Linked DNA regions of Notamacropus eugenii. The protein of the gene in region 1 purifies or fractionates together with the protein of each later gene. This does not show direct contact. Links are inferred from orthologs where the notes say so. Each region holds a gene or a part of one and is shown in the gene's direction. Other genes may lie near its edges.

What was found.
Region 2: the proteins of VAPB (region 1) and FAM83G purify together in Homo sapiens (affinity purification with mass spectrometry; 3 studies listed by BioGRID and IntAct, counting the BioPlex papers as one, with this or other methods). This does not show direct contact. The link is inferred for Notamacropus eugenii from reciprocal best matches to the Homo sapiens genes VAPB and FAM83G.
Region 3: the proteins of VAPB (region 1) and AFTPH purify together in Homo sapiens (affinity purification with mass spectrometry; 3 studies listed by BioGRID and IntAct, counting the BioPlex papers as one, with this or other methods). This does not show direct contact. The link is inferred for Notamacropus eugenii from reciprocal best matches to the Homo sapiens genes VAPB and AFTPH.
Region 4: the proteins of VAPB (region 1) and ARHGEF12 purify together in Homo sapiens (affinity purification with mass spectrometry; 3 studies listed by BioGRID and IntAct, counting the BioPlex papers as one, with this or other methods). This does not show direct contact. The link is inferred for Notamacropus eugenii from reciprocal best matches to the Homo sapiens genes VAPB and ARHGEF12.

Annotation. Positions count from the first base shown.
Region 1 is NC_092872.1:506,916,698-506,923,875, reverse strand, and holds the start of VAPB (vesicle-associated membrane protein-associated protein B/C), read left to right. Parts: upstream 1-4,153; 5' UTR 4,154-4,678; coding exon 4,679-4,736; intron 4,737-5,202; exon of another isoform or gene 5,203-7,178. UniProt on the Homo sapiens protein: Endoplasmic reticulum (ER)-anchored protein that mediates the formation of contact sites between the ER and endosomes via interaction with FFAT motif-containing proteins such as STARD3 or WDR44.
Region 2 is NC_092874.1:320,030,152-320,037,391, forward strand, and holds the start of FAM83G (protein FAM83G), read left to right. Parts: upstream 1-4,240; 5' UTR 4,241-4,406; intron 4,407-4,712; 5' UTR 4,713-4,960; coding exon 4,961-5,491; intron 5,492-5,507; exon of another isoform or gene 5,508-7,240. UniProt on the Homo sapiens protein: Substrate for type I BMP receptor kinase involved in regulation of some target genes of the BMP signaling pathway. Also regulates the expression of several non-BMP target genes, suggesting a role in other signaling pathways.
Region 3 is NC_092872.1:639,957,954-639,965,953, reverse strand, and holds the start of AFTPH (aftiphilin), read left to right. Parts: upstream 1-4,986; 5' UTR 4,987-5,111; intron 5,112-8,000. UniProt on the Homo sapiens protein: Component of clathrin-coated vesicles.
Region 4 is NC_092876.1:277,951,686-277,959,680, reverse strand, and holds the start of ARHGEF12 (rho guanine nucleotide exchange factor 12), read left to right. Parts: upstream 1-4,993; 5' UTR 4,994-5,127; coding exon 5,128-5,159; intron 5,160-7,995. UniProt on the Homo sapiens protein: May play a role in the regulation of RhoA GTPase by guanine nucleotide-binding alpha-12 (GNA12) and alpha-13 (GNA13). Acts as guanine nucleotide exchange factor (GEF) for RhoA GTPase and may act as GTPase-activating protein (GAP) for GNA12 and GNA13.

The DNA of each region.
Region 1 (7,178 bases):
TGTTTATAAACATGAAGACTTGCATTCTAGAATGGTTTTTCTTTGTGGTTTGATCTAAGGAGCACATATTTCCTCCAAATCATGATTTCTCAAATAGCATATCTAAAACAGTTCCCAGACAGAGTTGGGAAACTAGCTACAGAACTGACAGTTGTCACACAGGCAAGTGGCAACAAGAACCAGCTGTCTTTACTTTCTAGGTTATCCTTCTGGATGGTCCTAATCTTCCTCATCCCTTGTGATTCAAGACAGGGGCCAGAATTGCCAAGGCCAAGATTAGCCCTTTCTTTTGAGGGTAGAGTTGAATTGGTTAAATGGGTCATGAAATAAAAAGTTCAAAACTAATTTCACTTCAAACTTAGAAGTTTATCAGAGATGCTAGTGTTCCATTTGCAGTGTATATGTGAATAGTGTTACTGTGTACATGCTGTGAAAAGTAACATGTTTTCATCTTCTCTTAGCTTTTTAGAATCAGGATCCTTTACTGCTGTAATGTGCTTGACAGTACCTACCTGCAGGCTTAGACAGGGCAGGCAGTGCCTAGAACATGTTTCTCAGATTTCAGATAATTTCCAAATTGATTGGTAACTTTCATTTGAAATTCAGCACCAGACTTCTAGTGAGGTAGTGATTGAGATAACTAACATTTAAGGCTTAAATTTAAAGCTTGTGGGTATTTTGAGTCCAATCAATACCAGCTTAAAAATATGCTGCCCTACTGAAAAGGTCGATATTGTTTTGAGAAACCAAGCATCAGTTTTCTTAGATCTTTTATTATAAGCATTAAACTATTTCTTTAAAAGGAAGACAAAAGAAAGTACATATCCTGGAGGGCTCTTGACACAGATTGTAGCAAAAAAATTTACATCTGACTCTGGTCAGAATGAATTAGGGTGTTAATAGACCCATTGTTTTAATCAAGAGCCCAAGAATTTAGATTTTCATCTTAAACAGTGCTGCCTAAAACTTCTCAGTATTTTCTAGCAGTTTCACAGTACTAGAATTCAGAAAACACCTTTAATAGTTAATAGTTGAAATTTATTATGCTGCTTTTAAGGTTTGCAAGATATTTTGCACATATTTGCATATATTCATTTGACTCTCACTGAACACCTGTAAGGCTGAAGAAGATTTGAGAGTCACTTGGACAGCAAAGAGATCAAATACTTAAGAATTTGATTCAGGCTATTTACTGGAATGTCAGTCAATAATGAAGCTGAAGCTTAAATACTTCTGCCACATAATGAGAAGACAGGACTCCTTGGAAAAGACCCTGATGTTGGGAAAGATTGAAGGCAAAAGGAAAAGGTGACAACAGAGAATGAGATACATAGTATGGGAATAACAAACATGAACTTCAACAGACTTGAGACCTTGTGGAGGATAGAAGGGTGTGGTGTGGCAATGGTCTCTGGGGTCATGAAGAATCAGCCATGGCTGAACAACAACAACCCCGTGAAGTAGGCAGGTCCTGTTATGCCCATTTAACAGATAGGGAAACAAGTTGCAACTCTCCCATGGTCACACAGCAAATGTCTGTTGCATAATTGGAACTCGGGTCTTTTTTGTCTTAAGGTTTAGCATTTTCCCACAGTACTAGATTGGCATGTAAAGATTATAAAAATGAAAGTACTGTATTTATTGTAAATAATGTGAAACAACCAAACTGATTTTTTAAAAAGTTCTTTGGTAAGTCTTCAATACATAAATAATATAGATCCAGAAATTTGTTAAATAAACTTATTTGTTAAATAAACTTATTTGTTAAATGATATGGGAACAGCCTTCAAAGGTTTTACAAAGATTCTATTCACCTTTCCGGAAACAGCTATTTTTTAAAAATGAAATGCTGAACTTTACATTTAAGGTCAAATACCTAGATTCTTTTCATAGTGCTAACACTGACATCAGCATTCCCATCTTCAGCTAACATCAATACTATTAATGTATGAAAGAATGAGAATAAGAATTATGAAAACAACAATAAGAACTCATTTTTAACCCGTGTGATTGCAATGCAAATTTGACAGATTTTATTATACAAGCCATTTAAATTATAAAATATCTAGATTTGTTTTTTCCTTTAATATGTTATTACAAAAGCAATAATTCCACATTTGACAGTTAAGATGTTGGGGATTCTTTTTCAGTTACCCTTGATTTCTTTTTAAGTGCAAAAGAACAATTTTTACAAGTGGGATAGAGTATAATTGCCAAATTTACGAATTTCTGGGAAGAAAGTTTTAAATACGAAGTTTATAGAAATCAGATTCATTTTTTTAAAAAGTACAACCTGTTGTTCTAAGTGACTGAGTTTAAATAGAAAAATCTTAACTTGCCTCTTCAGTATTTTGAAATTGAATAAACTGATACAGAGGCTAAAGTGATCTGGCAAATGTGGAAGAACATTTGAAGAAGTAGAAAAAAAATAGCATCTGAAAGTGATGGTTAAATACAAATCACTTCCTGGACAAAGTTGATTTCAGACATCTAAGCCTGCTGTTTGACATGCTTAATTATTTACTGATGTAACAAGATTCATGACTGCTATATGTGAGCTGATTTGTATTTGCATATATAATGCTAACCCCTGTATATCTCCTAAGAGCTGAGGGTCATTTAACATGTGGCTCATAATTAACATGCTAATTTTTTTTTCATATTGCAGCTTTTAAATAGAGACAAACCAAAGTTGTCATTCTTCATTTAAAAAAAAAAGTCAAATGAAGAAAAGCAAAATGATTTAAATTATGTAGCGAAATGAGAAAGAAGAATCTTTCTAAGTCACTGAATGCACAACATTAAACAGGATCACGGTTAGTCTGAACCACCCAGGGATCAGAAAGAGGCCTTCTAAAGATGAACAGAGAAGTTTGAGATGGACAGAAACAGCTGAAGAGGTGGGATACATTATAAATAATGCAGATATATACTGTAGCCTACTTCCTTAATGTTTCTACACAATCTTCTGCCTTGTTGCAAGCTTTAATAGGTTGATTCATCGTGTTTTATGGTCAGATGTTAAAACACTCCTGCCAGTGAAAAGCCCTAGATCTGCTTAGACACAAAAATAAAAATCAGAACCAGATTTTACGGCTCCTAATTGTCTAGAGATAAAATACTGGGACAGCACTGACAAATTATTATATTAAGGAATTGATCTAAAAGATTAACAGGGAAAATATTTATTTTCAGAGAACTTCCACAGAAGAAGGTAGAAGAAGGTATTTCATAATCCTTCCCTTTCCTGGTTGATGTAAGACTTTCACATTAATTATATTTTATAGAATAGTCTGAGGATACCTTCAGAGGCTTTCAGAGGATTGTAGAGCACCTGTTATTTAATATATAGGAACGGCAGTAGGGTCTAACACAGATCATTGAACCCAAGGGTAGAAAATCTGTGTTAAAGGTCCCTTTTTACTAATAGTATGTTACTAAGTCGTGTCCAACTCCTCCCAATCCCACCCACCAGAGTGGTTTGCCATTTCCTTCCCCAACTCCTTTTACAGATGAGGAAACAGAGGCAAATGAGGTGAAGTGATTTGCCCAAGGTCGGATCTGAATTCGGGTCCTCCTGACCCTATCCACGTCGTCACCTAGCTGCAGCACAACGACGGACAAATCAATTGATTTCTCTTGGCCTCAGTTTCCTCATCTTTAAAGTGGGGGTAATTACCCTGAGCCTGGTCCACCTAACAGATTAGTGAATCTAACGATAGTAACCGGTGGTAGAAACTGTTGCAAGGTTATGTACAAGCATTATGTATTATCAGAATAATGCACTTGCATCTGGGTTGCCCAAGTTCCTTCGCTTGTTTCAGAAGTAAAACTGATATTCATTTGAACACTGCTGCTCCCGATGCCCACGGTTCCGCCAAGGCCCCGGGCACCATCCTTCCAGGTGACCTCTGGGCAAAGGTAACTATCCGGTGGTGGTGGAAAGAACGGTCAAAGCCGGCCGCTGACACCCCAGAAAGAACGAGAGCCGCGGTCTCCAGCAGAACGAGGGCAGCACCACGGCGGGGCGGCGGCGCGCTCGTGCCGCCCCAGCCCCGGCCCCTTCGGGGGCTCCCCACGCCCCCTCCTCCCGGAGGCCCAGCCCCGGCGCCCCCGCCCCTGGCGCCACGCCCTCCCTCGGGGCGCGCGGCCCTGCCCTCCTCTCCTCCGCGCGCCAGCTCTCCCCTCTCCGCCCCAGGCGGATCCAGCACGCGCGCACTCGCCCAGGTGGCCGGGAAGGAGGACCAGGCTTTCGCAGCGCTCGCTACGTCAGCTCCGGCCTGTCCGGCCCTCCGGGTGCTGCATCATCGCAGGCGCCTCCCGCCGCCGCCGCCGCCGCCGCCGCTACCCCCGCTCCCTCGCCTCCGCCGCCTGCTCCCTCTCTCCCCGGGTCTGGCTGTGGGTCTGCGTGTGCGTGCGTGCGTGTGCGTGCGTGTGCGAGTGAGTGTGTGAGGGTGCCGGGCCGCGGCTGGGCTCCCCGGGCATCTCGCCGCCGCCCGCCCTCCGCCAGGTCGCCGAGACCCCTCTGCGCCTTCCGCCGGTGCTCCTTGAGCGTGTTTTCCGTCTGTTATTCCATGCCCTCTTTATTTTAACCTCCTGGGTCACCGACCCTGGTGCAGCGGGAAGCGGCCGCCTCCACCCCCTCTCCCGCCCCCGCCCCTCCCCCAATCCGAGGAATATGGCGAAAGTGGAGCAGGTCCTGAGCCTCGAGCCGCAGCACGAGCTCAAATTCAAAGGTAAGAGCGCGGGGACGCGGGCCCGGCCGGGGCGTTTGCGGGCCCTGGCCGAGGCACCACTGGCAGCCATTTTCCGGGGGCCCGGGAGAGGCAGGCGCGAAGAAAATGTCCTTCAGGTTTATTTCTCGGGGGCTCTGTGTGTGCGTCTTGGCCGCTTGGAGGTCCCCTTCTCCCCCCCTCCCCCCTTAGATTTAGCTTCAGATTCCCCTCCCCCACCCAGGAAAACGCGTTTCGAAGGGGCGTCCACCTGTTTATTGTATTTACCGGGTCTGAATCCTGGACATTTCGGGACCGGGCCCCACTTGCCTTGCTCCTTTGCAGAGCCCAGCTCCTCCTCTTCCCACACCCCACACTGCCAAAGAGGAGACGGATAGCCTGGAGAAGGGAAGGCTCCGGTTCGGGCCGGGGCTGCCCGCTGGGCGTTTGCCTGCCAGCGCCGGGAGGACTGGGTGGGTGCCGGGAGCTGGGCTGGGGGTGGGGGAAGGGCTGAGCTTCTGGGCCTCGGGGTTGTGCGGGACCGGGCGCTGGGGATTTTCCAGACCCTCTTCCCCCGCGCCCCAGGTTCTGGACTTTCTGATGTTGTGCCCCAGAAAGAAAAATGGAAATTTCTCCTTTGCAGAAACGTTTCTCTTTCCAATGACTTGACTTTACAGGATTCTATTTCTTCATCTCCTCCCCTCCTCCCCGCGCCCAGTTTTCTACCTAGAGAAACTGCCCGGGTTGGTTTGTGCATACTTTGGGTAGCCTTCCTACGAATGGGTAGTGTGTAAGCTTTCTCGGTGGCAGCCTAAGTAAATAATATCTTCTTTTGGGGTTGGTGTCTGCTCTCTTTGCTCTTATTAAAATTGTCAGGGCTGCTGGGAGCTTCGAAGAGGGGATACCAAATGCAACGTGTGCAACTGGTTCTAATTTGTTATTTGCAAGGAAACCTAGGGCCTTTAGCCCAGGGTTTGTCAGTGCTTTACATTTACCTGTTATTTTGTTTATGCTTCCCCTTCTTGAGGGATTGCTAGAAAACATGCTAAAACTCTTGCCATTTTGCTTCATAAAACAGAGACATTGGCTCCTGAATGTGCAGGGACTTAACGTTTGCTATTTAAAATTAAGTTCAAATAGTTGAAGTTGACAGAAGAGAAGGTGTTTTAATGCTGTCCTATGGGACGTTGCAACTTTGTAACTGCACTCTAAGCATGTAGGCTAGTTGCTACATTACTAAAACAGGGTAATCTACTGTAATGACTTTATTTATGTATTTATTTTTAGCAAATGTTGGTGGAAATGATTTCCATTTAGAGTTGTTCCTAAGGGCCATCACCCAGGTGTGTGAAATAATAAGGGCTGACACGAATAGTTGCACTTTATTTTTATACCTGGATAAACTGCCCTTTGTCAACGTAGGTTTGGCTAGCCTCTAATTAAAACTATGTTGCTGTAATCTCTCAAAATCATTCCTAAGTTATTACTGCTTCCCTAACACGTCCCAACTTCATTTACCTAAGCCCCCACTAGTAGAGAAAGGAGACACCTATAACTAATGGAAAGCCTGAAGAATTCTATTCTAGGCCACTAGAAAATTGTTGCCAGGCCATCATCATGTCCCTAGAGGACAGCTAATGTCATTTTAGAAGTCTGTTTATCTGCTTGCTATTCTCTTTAAACCTTTTCTATGCTTTTGAGTCAACATGTTGATAGATTATCTTTTTAGTATCAAACTATGTCTGTAAAGAAGAGGGCCAGTGTGTAAAGTGGTGGATGCAAATTAGTAGTAGTAACTGAGTGAATTTTTGCAAACTGAGGTTGAATTGGGTGCCATGAATGCCACTGAAGAAATGACTTTTTGTTAATTATCACTTATGGCACTCTACTAAGAGAAGAGGAAATTTTGAGAGTCACTATGGTATAATGTAAAGAACACTGAATCTGGGGTCAAAGGACCTTGAATTTAAATTCTGAACTTTGGGCATCCCACTGAACCTCTCTTTTGGCTTCAGTTTCTTTATCTGTAAAATGAAGAAACTGAACTAGATGACCTTTCAGGTCCTTTCCAACTCTAAATTATCTTATGAAAATATCCCAAATAGTCTGTGCTCAGTGTTCCATCTTCCTCGTCAGGTGATTCATCTTTATGTGGAAACCCTTAGGGAAAGCAAGAAATGGGCTTTCTAGAAAAGAGGAGAAAGAAAACCATTTTTTTAGTGCTTTCACTGCTGGCGAAACAGAATTCCAGAAATCACATCACTCAAAGCAACTTCAGCATATGTGTCAAGTGAGTAGTAGCATATGAAGGACAAATGCCTATGGAGCTAAGATAGGAACACAGAAGGCATTTAAAAATATCTTTGTAATGCTTAAATTATAAACTGAACTTAACCACAAAATTAGCTAGAGAGTCATCAGCAGTCCTTGCTCTGCAGAGATCAAATTCATTACAGTGCAGAAACA
Region 2 (7,240 bases), on another chromosome or scaffold:
AGTGACCTGAATAGCCACTTTTCAAGTGTGTTAGAACAGCAATTCCTCCTTGATAGGAGCTGGACCAAATGGGCTACCCTTGATCTTGACCAGATCACATGACCTAACCCTATCCATTTCATTTCCCCCTACCTGAATGACCCAGATACTTAGGTTCATAAATGATCATGTATTTAGAACAAGAAGGGGCAGTGGAGGTCATCTATTGCAAATCCCTAATTTTGTAGTGAGGAAACCAAGGCCCAGAGTGGTCAAATGACTTGCCCAAGGTCACACAGAGCTAGGATTTGAACTTGGATGTTTCTTCTGTATGACTTCTAAGGTCCCTGGTCCTAATCCCATTTGTGAGCAAGTTTCACTTCAGGGTAAAAGAAGTTTTGATACTCAAACATGGAAACTCTAGTAACATAGCTAGAGAATGACCCTAAAATATAGCTACTACATATGGCAAAGGCACATGGTCTTGTGTGCTGATATTAGAAACAGCACCCCCACACCTTACCCCACCAGCTGCCATCTTCAAACCTAATTTTGTTGTTTAGTTGTTTCAGTCATTTTGTGACTGACTCTTTGTGACCCCCTTTTGGGATTTTCTTGGCAGAGATATTGGAATGGTTTGCTATTTCCTTCTCCAACTCATTTTGCAGATGAGGAAACTGAGGAAGACAGTGTTAATGACTTGCCCAGGGTCAAACACAGCTAGTAAGGCCATATTTGAACTCAGGTCTACCTGGTTCCAGGTTCAGTACTCTATCCACTGTCCCACCTAGTTGCCCAAAACCAATCTGAATCACATATTTGGAGTTGGAAGGAACTTTTGAGATCATCTAGTCCTTGGATGTGGAACCTGCGGCCTCAATGCCACATATGGCCTTCTAGGTCCTCAAGTGTGGCCCTTTGAATGAATCCAAACTTTACAGAACAAAGTCTTTTATTAATGGGATTTGTTCTGCAAAACTTGGACTCAATCAAAAGGCCACACCTGAGAACCTAGAAGACCACCTGTTGCCTCAAGGCCAAAGGTTCCCCACCCCTGAATTCTAGTCTAACTCTCGAATTATACAGATAAGGAAACTGAGGCACAGCAAGGTGAAATAACTCATCTACGAACACAGAGCTAGGATTTGAAACCAGGCTTTTTGATTCCAATACCAAATTTTAATTTCTAATATTCCCTTTTGATGCTTCCAGAAGGGAAGACTGAATACAAAAGACTCATAACATTTTAGAGCTAGACAGGATTACAACATTTAGAACTGAAAAAGGACCTTTGAGATCAAATTCAAATCTCTATGCTTACAGATTAGGTATTTGCTTAGAGAGAAGAAGAGACTGTTTAAGATTGATAGTCATTTATTGGCATTGTAGGGAGAAGATCCCAAGTCTTTTGAGTCCCAGAATCTCTGTCCAGAGCACTGCTCATTTCAGGCAGTACATCAGTCAGTCTATAACGATTTATTAACCATCTGCTATATGCTAGGCATTGTGCTTAGCACTGGGGATACAAAGAAAGGCGAAAGACAGTCCCTGATCTCAAGGAGCTCACAAACAGGAGAGATACCAAGCAAACAAATATTTGCAGACAAGAAAAGTACAGGATAAATTAGATGTAATCAATAGAGGGAAGGAACTAGAATTAACAGGGATCCGGAAAGGCTTTCTATAGAAGGTGGGGTTCTAGCTGGGACTTATAGGAAACCAAGGAACAGGGGATAAGCCCTACTTTTCCTTTCCTGCTCCCTTTTTCATTATATTCCTCACTTTCTGCTCCTTCTTCCATGTTGGTGCAGATTCCTGGGAAGGTGGTAGTGGGAAGCACATATGTATAAAGAGAAAAGATTCCATTTCCTTCAAGTGATATCTGCTACTGCCCAAACTCATTCTGCCTTCTATTTAGCGTCACACTCCCTAAATGGGTGATCAGGCATAATCCCAGGGTTTTTCACTTTTCAGGGTTAGGAAAGAAAACAGCAAAGTCATTGGTTAGTCAATCGTTCAACTCTAGGGAGTATTATCAACCCTATTCTCCCTTACCCATCCACCTATCCCTAAGATTACTAAGCAAATAACTAGAATCACAGTGTTAAATCACTGAAGTCTGACCTAAGACAACATCAAATTGCCCTCCTGGCTCCCTCCTCTTTACAGGTTCAGAAACTGAGTCCCAGAGAGGCAACACTTTTTAACCAAGTTCACACATCAGATAGTGGCAAAACTGGAGTGAACATCCAGGGCTCCTAGACTCCTAGTCCAGTACTTTTTTTCACTACAACATACTGCTTATTCACCAAACTTCTAAACCCATCAGCAATTCACTTCATAAGTCTCTGGGTCTGGCTCCATGTCAGGAGAAGCTAGGAGGAGGTAACATGAGTCCCTGCCCTCTTGAAGCTCATCACATGTAGTTCAATGTCTCCTTCCAAACTAGCTTTGTCATTAGGCTGAGGAGGGACAGCCCAGAAAGCAAGTCCATTTTTTAATGGGCTTTTCTAAGACTCTGGTCAATTAAACCCCTCCCTGCCCAGGCAGCTGTTTAAAGGAGGCTCTAGCCATCAGATGTGGCAGCTGCACCACCCCATAATCCAGAGCCCCCAAGCTCCAGAGACGCCAAGGCCTCTGTCCAGGTAGCTGAGCTTGCTCTGGAGCTGAGGTAAGCCTGTCCTTAGGGGACCCACCCTGAGGATCTGTTCCCCTTAAAGTGATGGCCTTCAGAGGCCTCCACCAGGGGATCTAGCTTCCCTTGTGTAAAGTATGTTAGAATAGCAACGGTGAGGGGAATCTGAAGCATCTCAGGATTGGGGAACTGATCCTACTGTTTAGTCTTCTTTTCAGTCATGTCTGATTCTTTTGGGGTTTTCTAGGAAAAGATACTGAAGTAGTTTGCCATTCCCTACTCCAACTCATTTTACAGAACAGGGTTAAGTGATTCACCCAGGGTCACACAGCTAAGAAGTGCCTGAAACTGGATTTGAACTCAGGTCCACCACTTGTTTCCATTTCACTACCTAGCTGCCCCAACTGATCCAGTAGCAGCATCTAGAGTTGTTAAATCATAAAACTTCAGAGCTGGAAGGGTTCTTAAGCATCATTCACTCCAATAATCCAATCTCCATTCTACAAATAAAGAAACTGAGGTGGATGAAAGTGGTCTTCTCAAAACACAGTGAGCCAAGCTCAGAACCAGGTTTCCCAACTTGAAAGCCATTGCTCTTTCAACGACACCACTTTTAACTGCCAAAGAGAAATAGCACCACAGACCTACAGCTGGAAGGGATTGTAGAGATTATTTAGACCACCCCTCTTCACTTTACAGATAAAAAAACAGGGCCAGAGAGGTGAAACGATTTGCCTAGAGTCATCCAGATGGCAAGCAGCAGAGAAAGAACCTGATCTTCTAAGAGGAAGGTGTCTTTTTTCTTGGCTGCACACCTGGGGAGGTGGCTAACACCCCCATCACTGGGAATTAATGAAAACCGTACAATCAACCTCTATGGAGGCCCTGCCTCTGATCCTATGCTAGGTCCTGTGGGAATGCCAAGACTGGAGGCCCTCAAGAAGTTTACAGTCCGGGGAAAATAACACAAGCCAATGCAGCTGTGGAGTAGTGGGGAGTCCTGGAGGGAGACTTGGGAGGACTGAGGTCTAATCTTGGTTCTGTTTGCTACTGCCAAGCTGTGTAACTTTGGCTGTCACCTCCTCTCTCTCTGGGTCTCGGTCTCCTTAGCTATAAAATGCCGGGCTTTGGAATTTTCAAACGAGGAAACTGAGGCCCGGAGTGGTTCATCTGCAAACTCCTCTCAACGTCTAAGATAAATGAATCCCCAGGAGGTCCTGGGGTCTGTAAGCAAGCCTGTTCAGCGTGGGGCAGAGGTGAAGCGAAGTGGGCTGGCTGGTCCTGGGCTGGGAGGCCTTGCAGGAGGAGCTGGGACCCGCCAGACTCCCAGCAGCCGCATCAGGCTCCCTCTCCAAGGTATGGGGGGGGGGGGCTGGGGGAGGAGACAGAGGAGGGGGTTAAGGATGGGTGCCGGGAGGGAGGAGCAGGGCCGGGAGTGGGGAGGTGTTAGGGGACTAATCCCCGCGGCGTTCGGGAATGGGGGGCTCGGCTTCTCCCCTCCGCCCCTCGGATCGCAGACGCGGCGGGAGACACCGCGGGTGACTCAGCTTCCTGGGTCCGACTGGGGCAGGCTCCAGAGGCACCTGAGAGCCCAGAGGGCGGGGCCACGGTGCACGTGACCGCCCCTCCCCCCCGCAGGTGGGGCCGGGCGGGGCCGTGACTCAAGCGGCTCCTGGCGGCTTCCGACCCGTCGCCTCCCGCCTGTCATTCGCTCCGCTTTCCCTGGACGGCCAGCGCTGCGTGCCCTTCGCCGGCGCGGCCTCTTGGACCCAGGCTGCCGGGGAGAGCCGGGGTAAGAAGGAAACCCCCACCTGCCCGGCCTCCTAGCTGCCCACCCAAAGGCTCCATCTGCCCCCTCTGCCGCGGACCGGCCGGCGCTTGGCCGTGCTTGGAGATCCGGGCTGGCTGTGCTGGCCCCTGGGAGCACCGTGGGGGGTTTTCTGGGGGTTGGGGGAAGGGACGAGAGACCAGGCCGGAGGAAGGGGAACACCAGGTCCGGCCCCCCACCTAGAAGCCCCCTCAGACTTCCAGCCCGTCCAGCCCGGACTGCCCTTTCTGCAAGCCCTTATTCATACTCTCCGTCTCTTTCCCCAAACAGGTTCCCTATGGGCAGAATGCAGGTGAAGCCTGTGCGTGCCAACCACTACCCGTCCTACTGGGCCATCGCTGGGGGGTCAGGCATCTGAGCTCCGGATCCGAGGAGCAAGAAGGAAGGGGGGGGAGAGAAGAACACCTTTGGCCTCCGGGAAGCCCCCTCCTAACCCCTAGTTTAACTCTGCTCCAGCTCCCGCCACCCTTTCCTCCTTCAGGCCTGACTTGACCAGTGTATGTACCCCTGGCACAGCCATGGCGTACTCCCAGGTGCAGTGCCTGGACGACAGCCATGTGAACTGGCGTTCTAGCGAATCGAAACCTGAATTCTTCTATAGTGAGGGGCAGAGGTTGGCCCTGGAGGCCCTGGTGGCCAGGGGCCCCGAGGCCTTCTACGAAGTTCTCAAGAAGGAGAATATCCGGGACTTCTTGTCCGAGTTGGAGCTCAAGAAGATCCTGGAGACAATTGAGGTCTATGACCCAGGGTCTGAGGACCCCCGGGAACACAGAGGCCTCTGTGAGGGCTCTGGGCCCGATGATAAGGAAGAGAATGGAGAGGGAGGTGGTGATGCTGATGCTGATGCTGATGCTGATGCTGACCTGGTCCCTTCCTTGGAATACTGGCCACAGAAGTCAGACCGCTCTATCCCGCAGCTGGACCTTGGTTGGCCCGATACCATTGCCTACCGTGGGGTGACCCGTGCCAGTGTGTACATGCAACCTCCCATCGATGGACAAGCTCACATCAAGGAGGTGGTCCGGAAGATGATCAACCAGGCACAGAAGGTGAAAAGGGATGGGGAATCCTGAGGGTGAGGGAAGGGGAATAAGGGCTAACATGTATATGGAGCTTTAAGACTTGCAAAGAGCTTTACAGATATCTCATGTGATCCTCAAAAAAACCCTGGGAGCTAGATGCTATTAGTACCCCATTTTACAGGTGAGGAAAGTGAGGCAGACAGCAGTAAAGTGATTTGTCCAGGGTCACACAGATATTTGAGGCCAAATTCGAACTGGGCTTCCTAATTCCTGTCCCTGGATTTTGCCACCTAACTGCCTTTCAGGAAAGATAGGATTCCTGGATTTTCTTGCACAGTTCACTATATGTCATTGACAGAAATGTTTCCTTAGAGGTCAGGAGACAGCAGGCTTCAGTTTCAGGGCACTGAGGGGGAGAAGAGACAATGATCTTCAAAACTGAGGGAATGCTTGTTAGACAAGAATGAGAGAGAATCTCTTATCTTTGAACTGACTACTTTCACCTCCTACCTACTCCCCTTTTGCATTAAGATGCCAGGGATGCCTTTTCAAATATCTTTGTTAATTCATATCAGCTTTCTCTTCCTTTCTAAAAAGCCTTCCTGAGAAAATTCGGTAGCTGAACAGATTTTACCTTTAGGCAATGGCACAGTGTGTGTCTGTGTGTTCCTCTATGACATAGTGAATAGTAAGAAAGCTCCTGCCTACGCAGATGAGTATTTGATGAAACCAGGGTGGGTGTGGGCATGACTCAGATCACAGTAAGGTCTGAATCTAGGATTTGGGACCAGAAATTCTCCTAGGGTGTCCATAAACATGTGATTTAGACTCTAGAGGGCAGCTGGAAAATAGACAAACTCATCCCAACTGTGACTAAGATGAACACTGTAGTCTGAGAAAAACAGTGTATTGGGCTAAGGGATTGGGTCTAGGTTTAAGTCCACACTTTGCCTTGGTAGTGCTGGGTGATCTGAGGAAGTCACTTGACTTCTCTGGTCCTCTGTTTCTGCTTGGGTAAATTTTAGGATACAGAGTAAATTTATAGTCTGCTTCTGGAGCCAGGGGATTTGATGCTGACTTGGCATGGGCAGGCCAACATTTCATTACTGAGTTGAGGACTGGACAAAGGTAGCAAGTTGCTGAGTAGGAAGAGTCAGAGACTTCAGCAAAGGATATTTAGGCTGAATCTTTGTAGAAGCTGAGAGTTGAAAGGAACCTGAAAGATAATTTGGCTCCACCTCTGCAAGTAAGGAGGTGGAACATGATACAGACTCAGCTTCCCTTCATTTTAGTTATACTCTCCAGTTCAAAACACAAACTCCTTCAACTGAGATCTGAGATTTGTTTTTTTTTTTTAGCCTTACAGAGCATATTGAGTAGCTTTCAAACCCTGCCTGCACTTTAATTCTCTGTGTGTATGTACGTATGTATGTATGTATGCATGCATGTGTGTGCGTGTGTGCATGTGCACACACAAACAAGCTATTAAATAGGACTTTCCACTTAAAAGAGGTCTTGCTTCAGCCTTGTTTGGCTGTAAATGAGCTGCTATTTTGGTCACATTTACACTTTGAATAATAGGAAGGAGAGCTCCCAGAGCCCTTCAGGATCACTCAGTCCACTCCCTTTATTTTCACAGATGAGCAAACTGAGGTTCCCAGAAGGTTACTCAAGTACTAAGTGGAAAAATGGAGATTTGAACCCAGATTTCCTGATTGCAAATCCAATACTCTTTCTCTCTGCCTTCTGGTGCTTTTTAGAGATTGGGGTCATCCT
Region 3 (8,000 bases), about 130 Mb from region 1:
GCTTCCATGTGTCAGCCACTGACCGGAGTGCTAGGGATACAAAGACAAAAAGCAAACATTTCTGCTCTCAAGGAGCTTGTTTATCTTCTAATGAGGTACACAGACACAAACACACACAGACACACAGACATGACAGGAAATGACTATTTATTTACTTGAGCCTTCGAGGACATAGGACAATGATTTCAAGTTCAGCTTCTCATTTCCTTTAGGGAGAGGGTTTGGAGATTTCTCTTGCAATGCAATGGCATCAGAGGAAGTACAAGTGAACCAAAGGATGTCAGGTGGAATCTTGAGAGTCCAGGGCCACTGCCTTAATTAGGGATATTCCAGCCGCTAAAGAATGCAGAGCATCACTAAATTCCTTAGCCAATTCCCTATTCAAAAGTGGAATTGGCGGTTTCAGGAAATAATTTCCCATCAACAGAAATCTTTAAGCAGAAACTAGATAGATGACCACTTGGGGATATTAGAGATTCAGCAGAGAGTTGGATAGGATGAACTCTGTGGTCCCTTTCAGCTGCAGGGGACTATGTTTCTATGATAAACAATATATTTCATAAAGGGCAGGTGGGAAGGTCTGTCTGCTGAAATTTCTTCATCTGTAAAATGGGGATAATAGCACCTACTGCCTGGGGCTGTTGAGAGGATGAAATGAGCTACCTGCAAAATGTAAACCCCAAGTGATACGTAGTTTTTATTATTATTGCCAACTTCAGTTTATCCTACCATCCAAACTGGGTATTCCTTATGACAATGTAATTCTTGTTGTCTTTTCTCTGGTACCACATTACAATCTATTCTTTTTTTTATTACAGTTGCTTTCCCAGGAACTATTGTGCATATTAGCCTAGGTTTAAATGGATTAAAATTTATTACATCATTATATGGAATACTACTGCACTATAAGAAATGATGACCTGGTTTCTTTTTAGAAAAACATGGAAAGACTTGCAGGAAATAATGAAGAGTGAAATGAGCAAAACCAAAAGAACATTGTATATAGCAATAGCAATATTGTTCAATGAACAACTGTGAATGCCTACGTTATTTTGAGTATTACAAAGACTCAAATCAGCTACAAAAGACTTATGAAGGAAGATGCTATCCACCTCAAGAAAGAACTGATAAGTATGTGTAGTATGGTTTTGCATATATATGCATACACACACATATACACATGTATATACATGTATATACACACACATACACACACACATATTGCATCAGTGGCCTTCTTGAGGGTAGTGTGGGGAGGGAGGGAGAAAGATAAAGTAAAAAGTGCACAACAGAGAAGAAAACTCAGAAGAAAGCACAGAAAAACAGGGTGGCTTTTAAAACAATGAATAGCATTTATTACATAGCTCAGCTTTTTTAAGTAAAGTATGAAATGGAATCATGGCTTCGTATTGAATTCTCTCCTTGTGTGGGGCTATGTAAATGGATTTTTTTTGTCTTTTTGCATTTAAATTCAAAAACGAATAAAAAATTAAAAATAAAAGAATGCTGTAATCCCCGTTTGCTTCTTTCAGTTTTCATATTTTAAAAAACTCTTTTGTAAAAAGAAAAAAAAAACCACAACTACTCTTCAAGATCAAATTGTTTTTTTTTTTAATTTGGAAATGAATGTAAGGAAGTCAAGGCCATGTATATAAATTTGAAAAAAAACCCAGATATGAATGTCTTAATAAGCAGTGTGATATACTGTAAATTCTTAACTTAAGAGTCAGATTTGAATTCTACTAGACCTTGCCCAAGCCAGTCACTAATTTCATGTGTAACCTCTGAGCTTCAGTTTCTTCATATGTAAAATGAAGGGGTTGGAGTAGATCAGTGAATCGAATTTAAATAGAAATAGGGACCAAATATTGATTTAGAGAAACTCAAATTAACACTGTATTTTAATTTGTTTTGTTAAACATTTCCCAGTTACATGTTAAGTCCTATTAGGGAGATTTGCCAGCTGTTAAAGTAGACTGCAAGGCCATGAGTTTGATATTTTTGGAGTAGGTGATTTCTAAGGTCTGGTCCAACCCTAAAATTCTTTGATTATTTACAAGAAAGGAAGCAGGATGTGGTGGATGGATGTCAAGCTGTCCAAGAAATCAAGAAGATCTGGGTTCAAGTATTGTCTCTGACATACAATGTCTGAAAGACTCAGGATAATTCACTTATAACAACTCACTGGCTAAAATGGGGATCATAATAGCACCTTCTTTACTTGCATGATGGTTAGGAGGATCAAATGAGAAATTTGCAAAGTGGAAATATTAGCTGAGCACATATTAGGTGCTAAATAAATGTATTAATAAAATTTATTAACTTATTTACTTATATTGATTTTTTGAACACTAATTTTTCAGGTTTTATTTTATTCATTTTATATACTTGCAGTTAGCATGTATGAATGAATTCTGATTCTGTTTTATGTCACATAATATTTCTTTTTATTCTTCATATTTACCTTTTCTTGCAGCACAATAATACTCTATTATGTTCATAAGACACAAATTATTTTACCATTCCCCAAACCATGAATACATGTATTTTAATCATTTAGCAAAAAATTCAGATCACTGAAAATTTCTATTAGATTAAGAGTTTTTAACCTGGATTCTAAGAACTTGTCTATTTTCTTCAAATGTTTGATAACTAAATTCCAATATAATTGATCTCCATTGTAAGCCTATGCATTTAAAATTCTGCTAAGATATGTGGAAGTGATTATAAAACACTGAAAACAAATAAAATAATTTAATTTAAAAATATAAAAAAATAAAATTCTGAGAAGAGGTCTAGAAGAGGTCTAACAGACTATGAAGGTGACCATAAGACAAAAAGATAAAAAAAATCCTGCTTTAAGATTAATATTTTTAAAACAATAAAAAGCCTTCACAACTAAAGGCAATATTATCATTCAATAGCGTCCACAACTCTTTATAACTCCATTTGGGGTTTTCTTGGCAAGGTTACTGCAGTGATTTGCCATTTCCTTCTCCAGTTCATTTTACATACGAGGAAAGGAGGCAAACAAGGTGAAGTGAATTGCACAGGGTCACACAGTTAGTAAATATCGTAGGCCAGTTTTGAACCCAGGAAAATGAGTCTTCCTAACTCCAGGCTTGGCACTCTGCTCACTGTGCCCACTGTGCGCCACCTAGCCGCCCTCTCTTTGAACTGACATAAAGAGGATTTCTGTGGGGAGTTCTGCAATTCTAGTGGTCAGGATAAACGAGTTACATGGTGAAAAAAAAAAAAATCTTCAAGTTGTAGTGATAAATAAAGCACTAGGTGATATCAAGAACAAACTTTTTCCCAAAGTGGAGCCCCGGATGATTGAATTCACGATCTGGCTTACTGCTTTCTCTGAATGACAACCTGTCTTCAAATCAAATTAGATGAAACTAATCCACAGTGGTATTTCTCACATGTTCTACTCAGAATCCTGCCATTTAGCACAACTTCTAAACCAATACATACTTCCGCTTTTGTGCAAACTACTTTTTTCTTCCCAAATATTTTTTTTTCAGTTTCCTTTCAGTTTGTAGTAAACTATGGGTTGGGTTATATGCAACAATGTATACCTGCTGAACCAGCAGGGGGCAAAATACAATGCGATAAATTAGATACAGTATATCCATTTTTCTTACTACTCAGGAAGCAGAAGGAAAAATTTGTAGCGATGCAATCTCTCCGTCTAACAAGGACTGAGTCGAAAGAGGCAAATATTCTATTTTAGCCCTCAAAGTCACTATGAAATGAGGGGATAAATTCTGCTCTTTCCCCTCACCCCAGAGAACAGACAGACACCGGCGCTGCAGTGGGATTGTTTTCTCATGGTCTCTAATATGTAAATGCTTTACTTTAGAATTGCGAAAATACCTTAAATTATTCAAAATGCCTAGGTCCGCTGAAGTAGGTGGATCACAGAGTGTGAGGAGCCCAAGTAAAAGCGATGCAGAGACGAAGAAGGGAAGGCTTATTTTGAGTGATCACAATAATTCACGTAGACAGCCTGGTAATTCATACTGCTGAATGAACTGGGCACTCAGAAGAGAAGACACGTGCAGTGGTGTTTTGCGATCCCCCATCGGAGGAATCCGATCTGATTTCTCCCCTTGCCGTGGACTCCTTTTCCCTCCTCGCTAATGTTGCGGTCAATAACTAAAATCGTCTAGATCTTTGAGAAAAGTCCTGCTTTGATTATTCTCCGAGACCCAGCGTACGCAGTCGGCTCCCCACTGAGCCCCTCGTCCGGTCCCCGTCCCGGTGCCTGGGGAAGCCCACAGGAGATCACCGGCTTCTCCTGGAACCCTGGGATTTCCTAACTGCTGGCGGCAGCAGATAAATGGGAAAGTCGATGGGGGCGGGGCGAAATCAGGAGAGGGGACCGGGCTTGGGCCGAGGGTCAGGGCCCGAGAGGGAAGAGAGGCACGAGGAGGGGAGGGCCCCAGGAGCAACGGAGTTCTCCCAGGTCCTCCAGAGTTAGCAACCAACCAGATTATGGCCCCTTTCCATTCAGTGTGGGCCGGGGGCGTCCGAGGAGAGGAGGCCCAGCCCCGAGGCACTGCTTTAGCCATTACGCCTGCCTCGGGCTCCGCTGCCAAGGGGAGGAAGGAGGGACGACTCTTTCTACACTTACCTCCGCAGCTCGCCCCGTACCAAGAAAAGGGCAATTTTGCCCTCACCCAAAATGGCGGGCCGAGCTCCGCACTCGACAGGAGCGTCTGTGACACCCGTTCTCCTCCAGGGGTCCCTCCCCACCTCACCCGCCCAGCCACGACCCATCCACCCTGCGCCCGGAAATGACGTGGCCGCGGCGGCGGTTCTCCCGCTGCATGATGGGAGAATGTGTGAAGTGGGCGGAGGGAATCTCCGCGGCGGAGGAGGAGGAGGCGGAGGAGGAGGAGGCGGAGGCGGCAGGCGGAGGGCAGCGGGATGGGGGTACCGCGGAGGCGCTGAAAGTCCGGGTGGGTGTAGATGGCGCCGCTCAGCTGAGAGGGCGGCGGGAAGCTTGCCCTCCCTAGTCGCCCACTCCGCTCCGCCCCGGAGGAGCCAGTTCCTCCCCCGGCCCCGAGCCATGCCCATCGCGGCCGCCCTGGAGGAGCCAGGTAAGAAGCGGCCGCCTCGCCGGGGTCTCCTCCCCTCAGAGGACGGGGCTGCCCAGACACCGGGCGCTCCCTGCGCGCCGCCTCCGAGGCCGCCCCGCGCCCGGCCGGGGCGGGGGGGCCAGGGGGCCGGGAGGCGGGCGGTGGCTGTGAGGGGCTCCTGCCCGGGGGGTGCGGGGAAGGAAGAGGCTCGCGGGGCCTGCGGCGAGCCCGTCCTGGGGGGCCGGGGCCGCTCCCCCCCGCCACCGACCGCCGCCCCGACCACCCCCGGCTCCCCAGCCCCGGCTGGAGGCGACCTCTCCCGCTCCCCGCCTGGTCCTGACCTCTCTACCTGCCCTGATTTTCTCTTCTTCCCCTCCCTCGGAAAACACACCCGCACACACCCGCACAGTTGTGAAGTTCGGAGCTTTGCTTGCTCCCCCCCTTCTCCCCTTCCTCGTGACAGGTGTAAACACTGCCCCTTTGCCCGAGGCCGCCGCCCGGGCCGGGGCCGCCTGCCCCCCTCCGCGCTCCCTCCTCCCCGTCACCCTCCGGAGAAATCACTTGTGACCCGAGGACGGTTGACTTGCCGGGGTCCGAGCGGACCCCTGCAGCCCGGGAGCTGGGCTGGCCCCGCCGGATAGGGGACTGGTTTAAATGCCGAGGAGGGTCCTAAGTCCTGGCGGGGCTTTCCTCCACGCCGAGCCCGGAGGGGACACCCGGCCTGTGGTTTAATTCGAAGCTTTTCCTTCCAATTTGGGCCGAGAGAAAAAGGGACATAATTCACCCTTGTTCGCTGAGTGGTTTGCAAACGGAAGCAGCGTTCAAGTTGCTTTCGGTGTCGTTTCTTTTTTTTTTTTTTTTTTTTTAATCCACTCCTAGGGGGAAGTCATGTCGAATTAAGCTTTTGAACTTTCCTTAAGGTGTAAGCCTATCCTTCCTGCCAGCCAACTTTTGAATCCTTTTTAGGATAGGATTTATCTTTGAAAATGAACTTGTTTGTAGTTTTGGAATTGCCCTTTTAGGCATCAGTATAAACTAATGTGACCATACTGAACTGCTGACTTGGTTGGTTAGACATATCAACATTTTGCATATTTAACATGCTGTCTTTTGTCGCAGAGGTCATAGATTTAAAGTTGGAAGAAACTTTAGAGGCAGTTTAGTCCAACCCCTTCATTTTACTGATGAGGAAATAAGCTCAGACATGACTTAACCAAGGTCACATAGGCAGCAAGTGACCGAGCTGAGACTTGAACCCAAGTCCTCTGACTCCAAAGGCATTGTTATTTTTGCCAGTACAATAGCTTAAGTGTTCTTGGCGAACCTCACCAACATTAGCTACAGTAAATAAAACGTCAGTTTCCTCAACATTGTCTTAACATTTTATCCACAGAAATATTAGACCGTGTGTAAACTACAGATAGTATTTTTGAATTAATACAAACTATTCAAACCCAACCATTACAAAACTGCATTTTAAATTTGTGGAAGAGCATACATATTCAATTAATTGTACGTGGTCGTCCCTAAAGTGCATGGGTGAGTTTTCTAAAAAGTTAGGCTGTTTAAAAAAAAAATGTTGGAGGTCAAACATTTTCAGTAGAAATCATGAAAGATTAATTTTGAAAAAAGCAACTTTGTTTTTTCCTTTTAGTTCAGTTTTTAATCATATGAGCATAGTAGATGTGTGTTTTAACACTGTATTGATCAGTTTCTTTATACATACAATTACTTGAATATAAAGCAGTTACTTTGCTAGTTATGATGATGCAGAGGCAAAAGCTGTCAATAATTATACATTGTGTTTGCAGGATCTGATGAATCTTATTTGTTAAAATGAACAGTTTGGAACTTAATTCTCTGGAATTTAAAACTTTTCTTCCTTCAAGTAGTAATTACTGTAAGCTAAGTTTATATTGTTACAGAAATTTTTAAGAATTTGAATTCATTTAGTTCATAGATAATTAACTAATTCAGAAAAAATATTACTCAAGTCAGTACTAAATGCATACTTTGTATAACTGCTAAAACCAACCCCAGGGAAATTGATTGGCTGGTAACCCCATGTGAAGTGTTCTGCCTCTCATTAACAACTTTGAAAAAATTCTCATGATAGAATGACCAAGTGTTTGGGTCTTTTAAAACCTATTATAAATTTTTCAGTTAAAACTTTATTGTTCAACTGTGTTTACTGCAAGTAAACTATTAATCTGTTATTTTGTATTTTATATTTATATAAGAATTATTACTTTGTATTTTTTTTTAAAAAGTCATTACCAGGAATTCTTAAATGCCCTAAAGAATTGCTGGGTTTGAAATTTTGAAGTGGATGCCTGATATTTCACATTAAAACATATAAATGAATCTCTTTGTAACTTTGAAAAGACCTGTCTTTTACATTAAAAAATGAGTAGAGGTTAGAATTTCCTTTTCCTCTCTTCCTACTAATAAAATCTGAATCTTTGGAAGGCCTTCCTTTCCCCACCCACCAAAGTCTCTGTCTCTATCCTTCTAAGCCCTGGCTAGTATGATTGTGAGAGGAAGTGTAACCTCACTTTAGAACCACACAGTAAGGAATTAAATAGACCTTATAGTTTATTTAGCCCAGTCTGCCACTTTACAGGTGAGGAAACTGAGGCTCACAGAGGATTAGTTACCTGCCCAAGATCACATAGCTAGTAAGTGACAGATCTGGGATTTAAATGAGAGGCATCGAGTTAGTACAAATCAGATCTCTCACATTTACTAACTGTGACTCTGGGCTAGTCATTTAACTTCTATTTCATAAAAATATTTGCATTAATTTCCTCATCTATAAAATTAGGATCATAATAGTTCCTACCAGGGTTGTTGTTAGGATAAAGTGAGATATTTGTAAAGTGCAAACCATAAAGTGTCATATATAAATGC
Region 4 (7,995 bases), on another chromosome or scaffold:
AGTCTGATAGCTATGTGGAAGATGCCTTGGAGAAGAGATGAGAATAGAAACTACAAGTCCAATGAAGGGGTTAGTGCAGTAATCTATGTGACATGTGATGAGGTCCTCACCTATAAAGCTCTCCCATATATATGAAAACCTACAGAAAAAAAATAGGAAAGAGAGGAAGTACTTATATATTTTTTTGTCTTCAGCTTGATTTTCTTTAAGCCTGGAAGCACTATCTTTTAGGCTCACCTAGGTAGAGCTAGGTTAGGTCAAGGGTTAAGCAAGCAAGGTTAAGGTGGAAGGTTGATTCCCTTAGGCAGAGATCACTTACTTGCACATGTTGCTCAGCCACAGCCTGTACCCCAAGCACTTAGCCAACTGAGTGGAATATTTGCACTGTTGGTCACAAGAGAAGCCAGCTGAGAATGTTATAGAGCTCAGTGCAAAAGCACCACTACCACTGAAAGAATAGCCCAAACACATGTCCTATTGATGTCAGGTCTTCAGTGTCATTTTCCAATGTGAAAATCAGTTTATTTCTTCTGGGCCTGGAATATGTCAGGGATATAACTTTATTTGGTTCTAAAATCATTCTTTTAATCAAGTTTCATTTTTACCTTGTCATTTATTTTTTTAAAAACCAAGTTTTAGACAATGTAGTGCAGCAGAAAGAGTGCTGCATAGGAAGTCAGAGGATCTGTATTTGAATCCTGGCACTGTCTCTCACCACCTTGGGCAATTCCCTTGATTTCTTTGGTTGCTCTTTCCTTGTCTCTAAAATGAAGAGGTTGGACTAAATAATCTTTATTTTTCTTTCCACTTGTAAATTCATGATCTTAAGTGGAGCTATCTCTTTACCTTTTAAACTTTTCAGGGGAGATGAGATGGCTGTTTTCAAGTATTTGAAAGGAGGAATGTGGAAGACATTAGCCTCCTTCTGTTTGGCCCAAGAGGAAAGAACCAGTAACAATGGGTGGAAATTGCAAAGAGTCAAATTTAGGTTTGATGTAAGAAAAAAAACTCAAAACAACAAACAACTTCCTAACAATCATAGCTATCCAAAAGTGGAATGGCCTCTCTCAGGAAGTAGGGGGGTTTCCTTTCATTGGAGATTTTCAAGCAAGGGCTGGGTAATCTCTTGTGGAGGGTATTATAGGGGGGATTCTTTTCCACATGACTACAGAGGTCCCTTCCAAATGAATTCTGTGATTCCATAAACTATAGGTAGCTCCAAAAACAGCCTTTACTATTCTATAGAGAATGGGGGAGGAAAGGTTGACTTTGTGGCACTTCAGTGAATAATTCCCATCTGAAATAATTTCATAATCGCTACATACCATTTCCCACTGAAGCAAAAAGCAACTGGAAAGCACTAGCCTGGGAGTCAGGAGAGCTGACTTTTAGTCTTTTTTCTGCCACTAATTCTTTGTGTGACTTTAGATAACTCACTTCATCTTTAACAACTCTTTGTTTCCCTACTTGTGAAATGAAGGGGCTAGGCTATCTCTAAGTGTTCTTCCGGTTCTAACAATATGATTTTTATTCTTTGGTCATAGATGAATGTCTAAGTTTAGAATTATGTCCAAAACAATTTCCCCAGAAAGACTGTATAGAAAAAAGGGTCTTTAAGATCCCAAAGGGAAGAGGGGAACCCATCTTTACAGTGCACCATTTGATGAATCACTGGAATGAATACATGTCTAACAAAAGGATTATGTCAAAGGAAGACACAGCTAGTCCATCATTGTGAAAGTCTGCATGATTATACAGAATACATCTGTTGAGTTTGTGGCCCAGATTTGGATCTTGACCAAGGCTTATTGAAATGGCTCGATCTCTAGCTGTTTAACAATTTTTGTTTTTTTAAATTGCAGTTTTGCTTGGACAGTTCTTAGGATGGAATTGTGTCATACTAGGATACTCCAGCAGGTGGCAATATATCCTGCTGACATCATTAGGACTGAAGTGACCTGTATCACTAAATCTGTTTCTTTCTAAAAATAAACATTACAAAATTAGCTGGCTCTTTACTGATCTCAGAAATCACGCAGCTAGAGTCATCTTAGGACTCTGTTTTAATTTTTCCCCCCTGTGTTATGTCACCCTTAGCTCAAGCACAAAGAACACTCAGGGTTATGATCCTTCTTGCTGAATGACTTTCACAGAAAGCAATGTTAAAATGAAATTATTTTAACGAAAATTATTAAATTCTGATAAATTTCAATTTTCACCAAACAGCTGAAATCATTAAACCACCAAGACTCTGAAAATGAAACAATGAACAGGGTTATTCAGAGTAGGTTAAGTATCTCAAATTGGGCAGCAATTTATTAAGTCCTTACTATGTGTAGAATCTTGTATTGAAGGAGATCTAGTTTAGACAAGATTGTACCTGTCCTTGTGGGGCTTATAACCTAGAAGGGGAATATGCCATATAGACATATAACTATAATAAAAATACATCTTAAATGGTTCAGTGGAAAGTGAGCTTCAGATCCCAGCTCTGATATTTAATACCTGTGTTACCTTGGGAAAGTCACCTTTCTTGTCTTTTCTTTTCCTCATCTCCAAAATGAGGGGATTGGAGTAGATGATCTCTGAAATCCCTTCCAGACCTAAACCTATGATCTTCTGATAATGTGTATAGGGAAATGTCAACAAATACTCTAATGGGAAGGTGGGGGATGTCATTATTGCCCCAAGGATGGGTGGATAGGTGGAAGGAGAGGGATGGCATACGGGCATCTGTATGGGTAGGAATTCAAGGGTCAGGAGGGATTTCTAGCAAAAGGTACAGCGGAGGCATTTAATACCTGGATGTGAAGACTTGTAGAACATGGATATATTGGGCTCAGTTTCCTATACTGTTGACTTTTACATCATTTATAAGTAGATAATGGTGAAATATGTGGAAAAACCTCCAGAGATAATTTTTATATAGATTCCCTTTGATCAAAATACCAGAAAATGCCTTTTCTTTTCCTTCCACAAACAGCTATGAAGGCCTGCAGAGAAAACAGCACAGCCTGCTCTCTTCCGTGACTGCAAATAACACACCCTATTTTTCAAGGCAGAAACAGGCTAAAGGTAACATACCAAGAAATTGCAAAAGATACAGCTGGAAGGGACCTGAGAGATCAGAAAACAGACCGACAAGTGAAGTGACTTGCCCAAGGTTACAGAGCTATTACATCTGGACAGGACTGCTTTTTTCTTTACTAAGTAGCCCTCCACTGGTCCCCATTATCTCCAGTCTTTAGAGGTAGGGATCGGGGGCCCAAGTGCACCGCCCCGCACAGGTGAAGAAGCTGTTGTCCCAAGTCTCTTCTCAAACCCGCTAAGAGGCTTCCCTTGGAAGGCTCTCTCGGTGCCAGGTAGTGCCGGGTAGTGCCAGGGGGAGCCGGGGCATTGACAGCTGAAACTTTCCAGGGACGTTTCTTCCTTTTCCCCTTTCTTTCGTATTAACAACGGAGCCTTGCAAGGGAGGTCTTCCCTCCCCCCCACCCCCCATCTCTCTGTCGTGGCTCGGCTTTGACAGCCGAGCTTTGCTAAGCAGGTCTCGGTGTCTGTCTCGGTGTCTGTCTCGGTGTCTCTCACACACACACACGGATACGAGGACATAACTACACAAGCAGGGATCACGGCTCTTCAGGACATCTGTGTGAAAATGAGAGGCCAAGGAGAAACCCCATTCACCGGAGGGATCATAAAGTGGGACGAACCTTGTACTTTGCGTACCCCACCAGCCTACTCAACCCCCACTTTACAGAGGAGGCTAATAGAGGCACTGAGGGACCTAGTGACTGGCTCCAAGCGCCACGGCTGAGATTTAATCCTCTGATTCCAAGATCTAGTATGACATCAAGTCTTCCCCATAACCAGCTCCCCCGGGGCCGCGTCGTGCTCCGGGGCGTTGCCTCGCTACAAGGCGCAGAGCCCTCCCGGGGCCGGGCCGCCCGGCCGCAGCACTACTTTTCCCTTCCCTCTCCAGCACGCCGCCTGCGGGGGAGGCTCCCGGAGCCGGGACGAGCGCGCGGAGGAGGCGGCAGCGGCCGATGCGCCCTGGTGTGTGTGCGCCGCGCGGAGGAATCCTGAGTGAGGCGGCTTTCAGAAGTAAGAGAGGAGGCCGGAAAATAAGCAAAAGAGAGAGAAAAGTAGGGCGGGGGAGGAGAGCGAGTGTGGGAGAACGAGCCTAGGACTGGAGAGGACAGAACCGGAACCGGAACCCGTGCGCGCGGCTGGAATCGTCGCGACCCCCCCTCCCCCTGCGCGCCGCCTTACCTTGGGCGTCCGACGCATTCCCCGCTCCCCTCCCCCTCCGTCCCGAGCGCGCTCCCGAGATAGCCCCGCGGGACCCGGCGAACCGGCCCTGAGGGGAGTCCCAGCCGCCGCCGCTCCCCGCCGGCCGAGACGGGACAGGCCCCTCTCCCGGGAGGAGCCGCGGCGGAGAGCGGAAGAAGCCCGAGCCAGCTCCCAGGGGATGGGGAGCCGCGGCCCGCGGCGCTGAGAGACCTCGGCCCCCAGCTCCTCCTCCCCCCCTTCGGACTGACTCAGCGAGTGCCCGCGCCCCTGCCCCAGCCGCCGCCGGGACAGCCCTCCCCCCGGGCGGACGGGACGGGACGGGAGGGGACCCCGCCCCGGGGGACATGGAGGAGCCGAACCCTGCGGAGCTGAGCGAGCCCGGCGCGGGACGGCCCCACGAGCGGAGGCTGCAGCAGCAGCAGAGGCGGCGGCGGCAGCAGCAGCAGCAGCAGCGACGACGACTCACCCGCAGCCCCAGATAGAGCCGACTGGGCCCCAGCCCGGCCCCGGCCCCCGAGCTCGAGAGGAGGAGGAGCGGGGCGCCCGGCCGCTGCCCGAAGCCGGGGAGCCAGCCGCCTTCGCGGAGACTCGAGGCCGCCCCCTTTGCCCGACCTCACGATTCCCGGGCGGGCCTGGAGCGTGTCCCCCCCCCCCCCCCTCCGAGACTTTCTCCCGTTCTTCCCCCTCCCCCCGGCGGATGCCCTATGACTGGCCGGAGTTTGGAGTCGGACTTGTGCGTCCCTCTCGGAGCCGCGCCGGCTGGGGGTGGGGTGGGGACTGGGATGTGGTTGTAAAATGCAAGTTGGATAGAAAGACGACCTCTCGCCAAGGGCCCCAATGAGTGGCACACAGTCTACTATCACGGACAGGTTGGTATGAAACTCCTTTTACTGGTCAGCCTTTGGTAGTGAGCGACTTCCGCCAGCTCCATCACCCCGGAGCTTGACAGGCCCGGGGCAGAGTAGGGTTCGGATCTGTACAAGTACTCCCGAGCTGCAGCCGCCCCGTCACCCAACGCATCCCTGGGGAAGGGACACAGGATGCGCACCTCCAGGTTTCAAAATGAAGCTAAGCTCTTGAGAAACGTAGGTAAAATGAAGGTTTGGGTTGTTTTGGCACTCCTGAGAGTCTTTATCACAACCCCCGCCCCCTCCCAGAAGGTCACTTTGGGTGAAGGTCAGTGCCTCACATCTGTTGGATACCGGGGCAATATCACTCACCCAGTTGTGTGGGCAGTTTGATATTGGATTTTTCCTGAGGGAGAGCTACCTTGTGGCCCGTGTGATCTTCGTCCCTTTTAAAGGGAACTTGGGACCTTGGGACTAGTGAACTTTTTTGTTGTTCAGTCGTTTCAGTCGTGTCTGACTTTTCGTGACTCCATTTGGAGTTTTCTTGGCGAAGATGCAGGAGTGGTTTGCCATTTCCTTCTCCAGCTCACTTTATGAGGATGAGGAAACTGAGGCAAACGGGGTTAAGTGGCTTGGCCAGGGTCACACAGCTAGGAAGTGTCTGTCTGAGGCCACATTTGAACTTCGGAAAATGAGGCTTCCTGACTTCAGGCTCTGCACTCTGTGAAGATCTTGGTCTTTTTTAAAATGTTGGCTTGCCTAATTTTTAATTGTTATATAGTAACTCGGCGATGAATGGAACTCTGTATCTTGTTATAGTTGGGGTAAAGCATCTGGATGGCGATTTTTTTTAAAAAGCTTTTTGGTTGTTATATTTCCATATATGTTACATTTATGTGTTAGGTATAACATTCCATATATGTTATAGTTCCATAATTTCTGATTTTTATATTTCCCAGGAAAATGTAGTTTAAAAGAATATCATAAGCAGTAAAGGAATTATGTAGGGTTTGATGTGCTAGCTAATAAATGGATTTGTCTTTATTAGCACTTAGATTAGATGGATCATTTCTGATTTAATAAGTCAGCAAATACTTTTAGGTTAGGTACTCTGAACCCTTGAGTATTAAACTTTTAAATGTGATACAGTAACATTAAGCACATTCATTTCTACAGTGTTTTTACATATATCATTTTCATTATAACTGGATTCCTTTCACACACAACAAGGTTGCATATTTGTGGTCCATATGCTAACTTCATATTTTTCTTTTTGTGTTCTGGACTAAAATTACAGTTTTTCTTCCAGAAAAAACTCTTTAACACAACTTAAGAAAGTGGAGGGAGGAACTAAAATTGAAGTTTAATAAAAGAAACATCAGCTTTAGAAAAGCCTATTTGTTTTTAAAACTCCTTTGTTGTAAGGTAGAACAATAGGACTCTGGCAAAAAGTGTTTGAATTACTTTATAAGAGTTACACCCAATTGCTGGACTCATTTGTTGATTAAAAAAGGGCTGAATTCCATTATCATACCAAAACAGCTCCTCCAGAGACAGAAGTTGCACTTCCTCTTCCTGTTGATGCTTTCCACAGTGTCACATGCACACTCACCTAAAGCATTCTACTGACATTTAAAAACTCCACATATGCTCTTTTAAAGTGTATCATTTATTTTAAAAATGAGGTTTTGTTGTCTATGAAACATTTTTTCCTGTCTCCTTTGAGCAACCACCATGCTTATCTTGTAATGCCTGAATGTACTTTTATTCCCCTTTCTTTCAGGGTGTTTTGCTTCTGAGAATCACTTTCAGGGGTGAGTGGGTAATTGTTTTCCTGGCTCATTCATTTCTTGCCATTTTTGTTGAGCCATTAGACAGAAAAACACCATTAGAAACAAATGTGTTAGTGGTTTATTTCTTCCTGTTGCTGTTTAAGTCTGTAGAAATGGAGTTTAAGACCACCAACTCATGCCATACAAGAGTCACCAGTGATCTTTTTTGAGTGTTATTACTGGAAATTATATTTGCCTATTTTCAGTTTTGGACATATATTTTCTTTGTCATCTAGTTACAGTATGTGATTCTTGTGAGCATTAAACTAAATTTTAAGTCAGGGGAGGTGTAACTTTAAACCTCTCCATTTTGGTTGTTGATGGTAAAGTTTGTTTTGGGAGTGAATTTTTTCAGATAATTCACAGCACTAACTGATTTGCAGAGTGATATGACAAAAGTCTTTAGAGATACTCTAAGTTGCAGATGACAAAATGTAGGCAATTTAACCAGGCAGTAAGGATACTTGTTTCTTAGGTGTTCTTGTTATAATTTCTTTTCTGCATACTTTTGTTCACTACTTTGTATTGATTGCAGGTGTTGTAGTTTCCCTAATTATTAGCTAAGATCATAGTGTGAATAGTTGTTCTACTATAACTGTGCACAACTTTGACTTAATCTGACTTGTAGTACTGATTTGAATGTGTTGGGGATAAAATCTGGAAGTACTGGTTTAGTGTTGCTTCTTTGCCAAGGATCCTGAAAGTCCTCAGTAGGGAATACTTCCCAGCTTCCTCTAGGCACCACCCACTGTGGCCTTCTCCTTCCCACTATTCAACTCCAAACTAGTGTTGATGGTGTAGTTGATGTCTGACAGCTAAGTTTGCAGTGACTGGCAAACTGACAGTACTGGTGGACCTCGTTATGGTCTTTTCATGATTGAAGTACTATATGGGGTATGCTTTGTAGCGTGTGCAAAATCATCCAGGCCAGCTGTGTGTGAGTCCTTGTTCTTTCATTGTAGTGCTTCTGACTGTACAGTTTGTCTGTCCCTAGCTAAAATCAGACTGGCTGGCTTTGGGCGTTG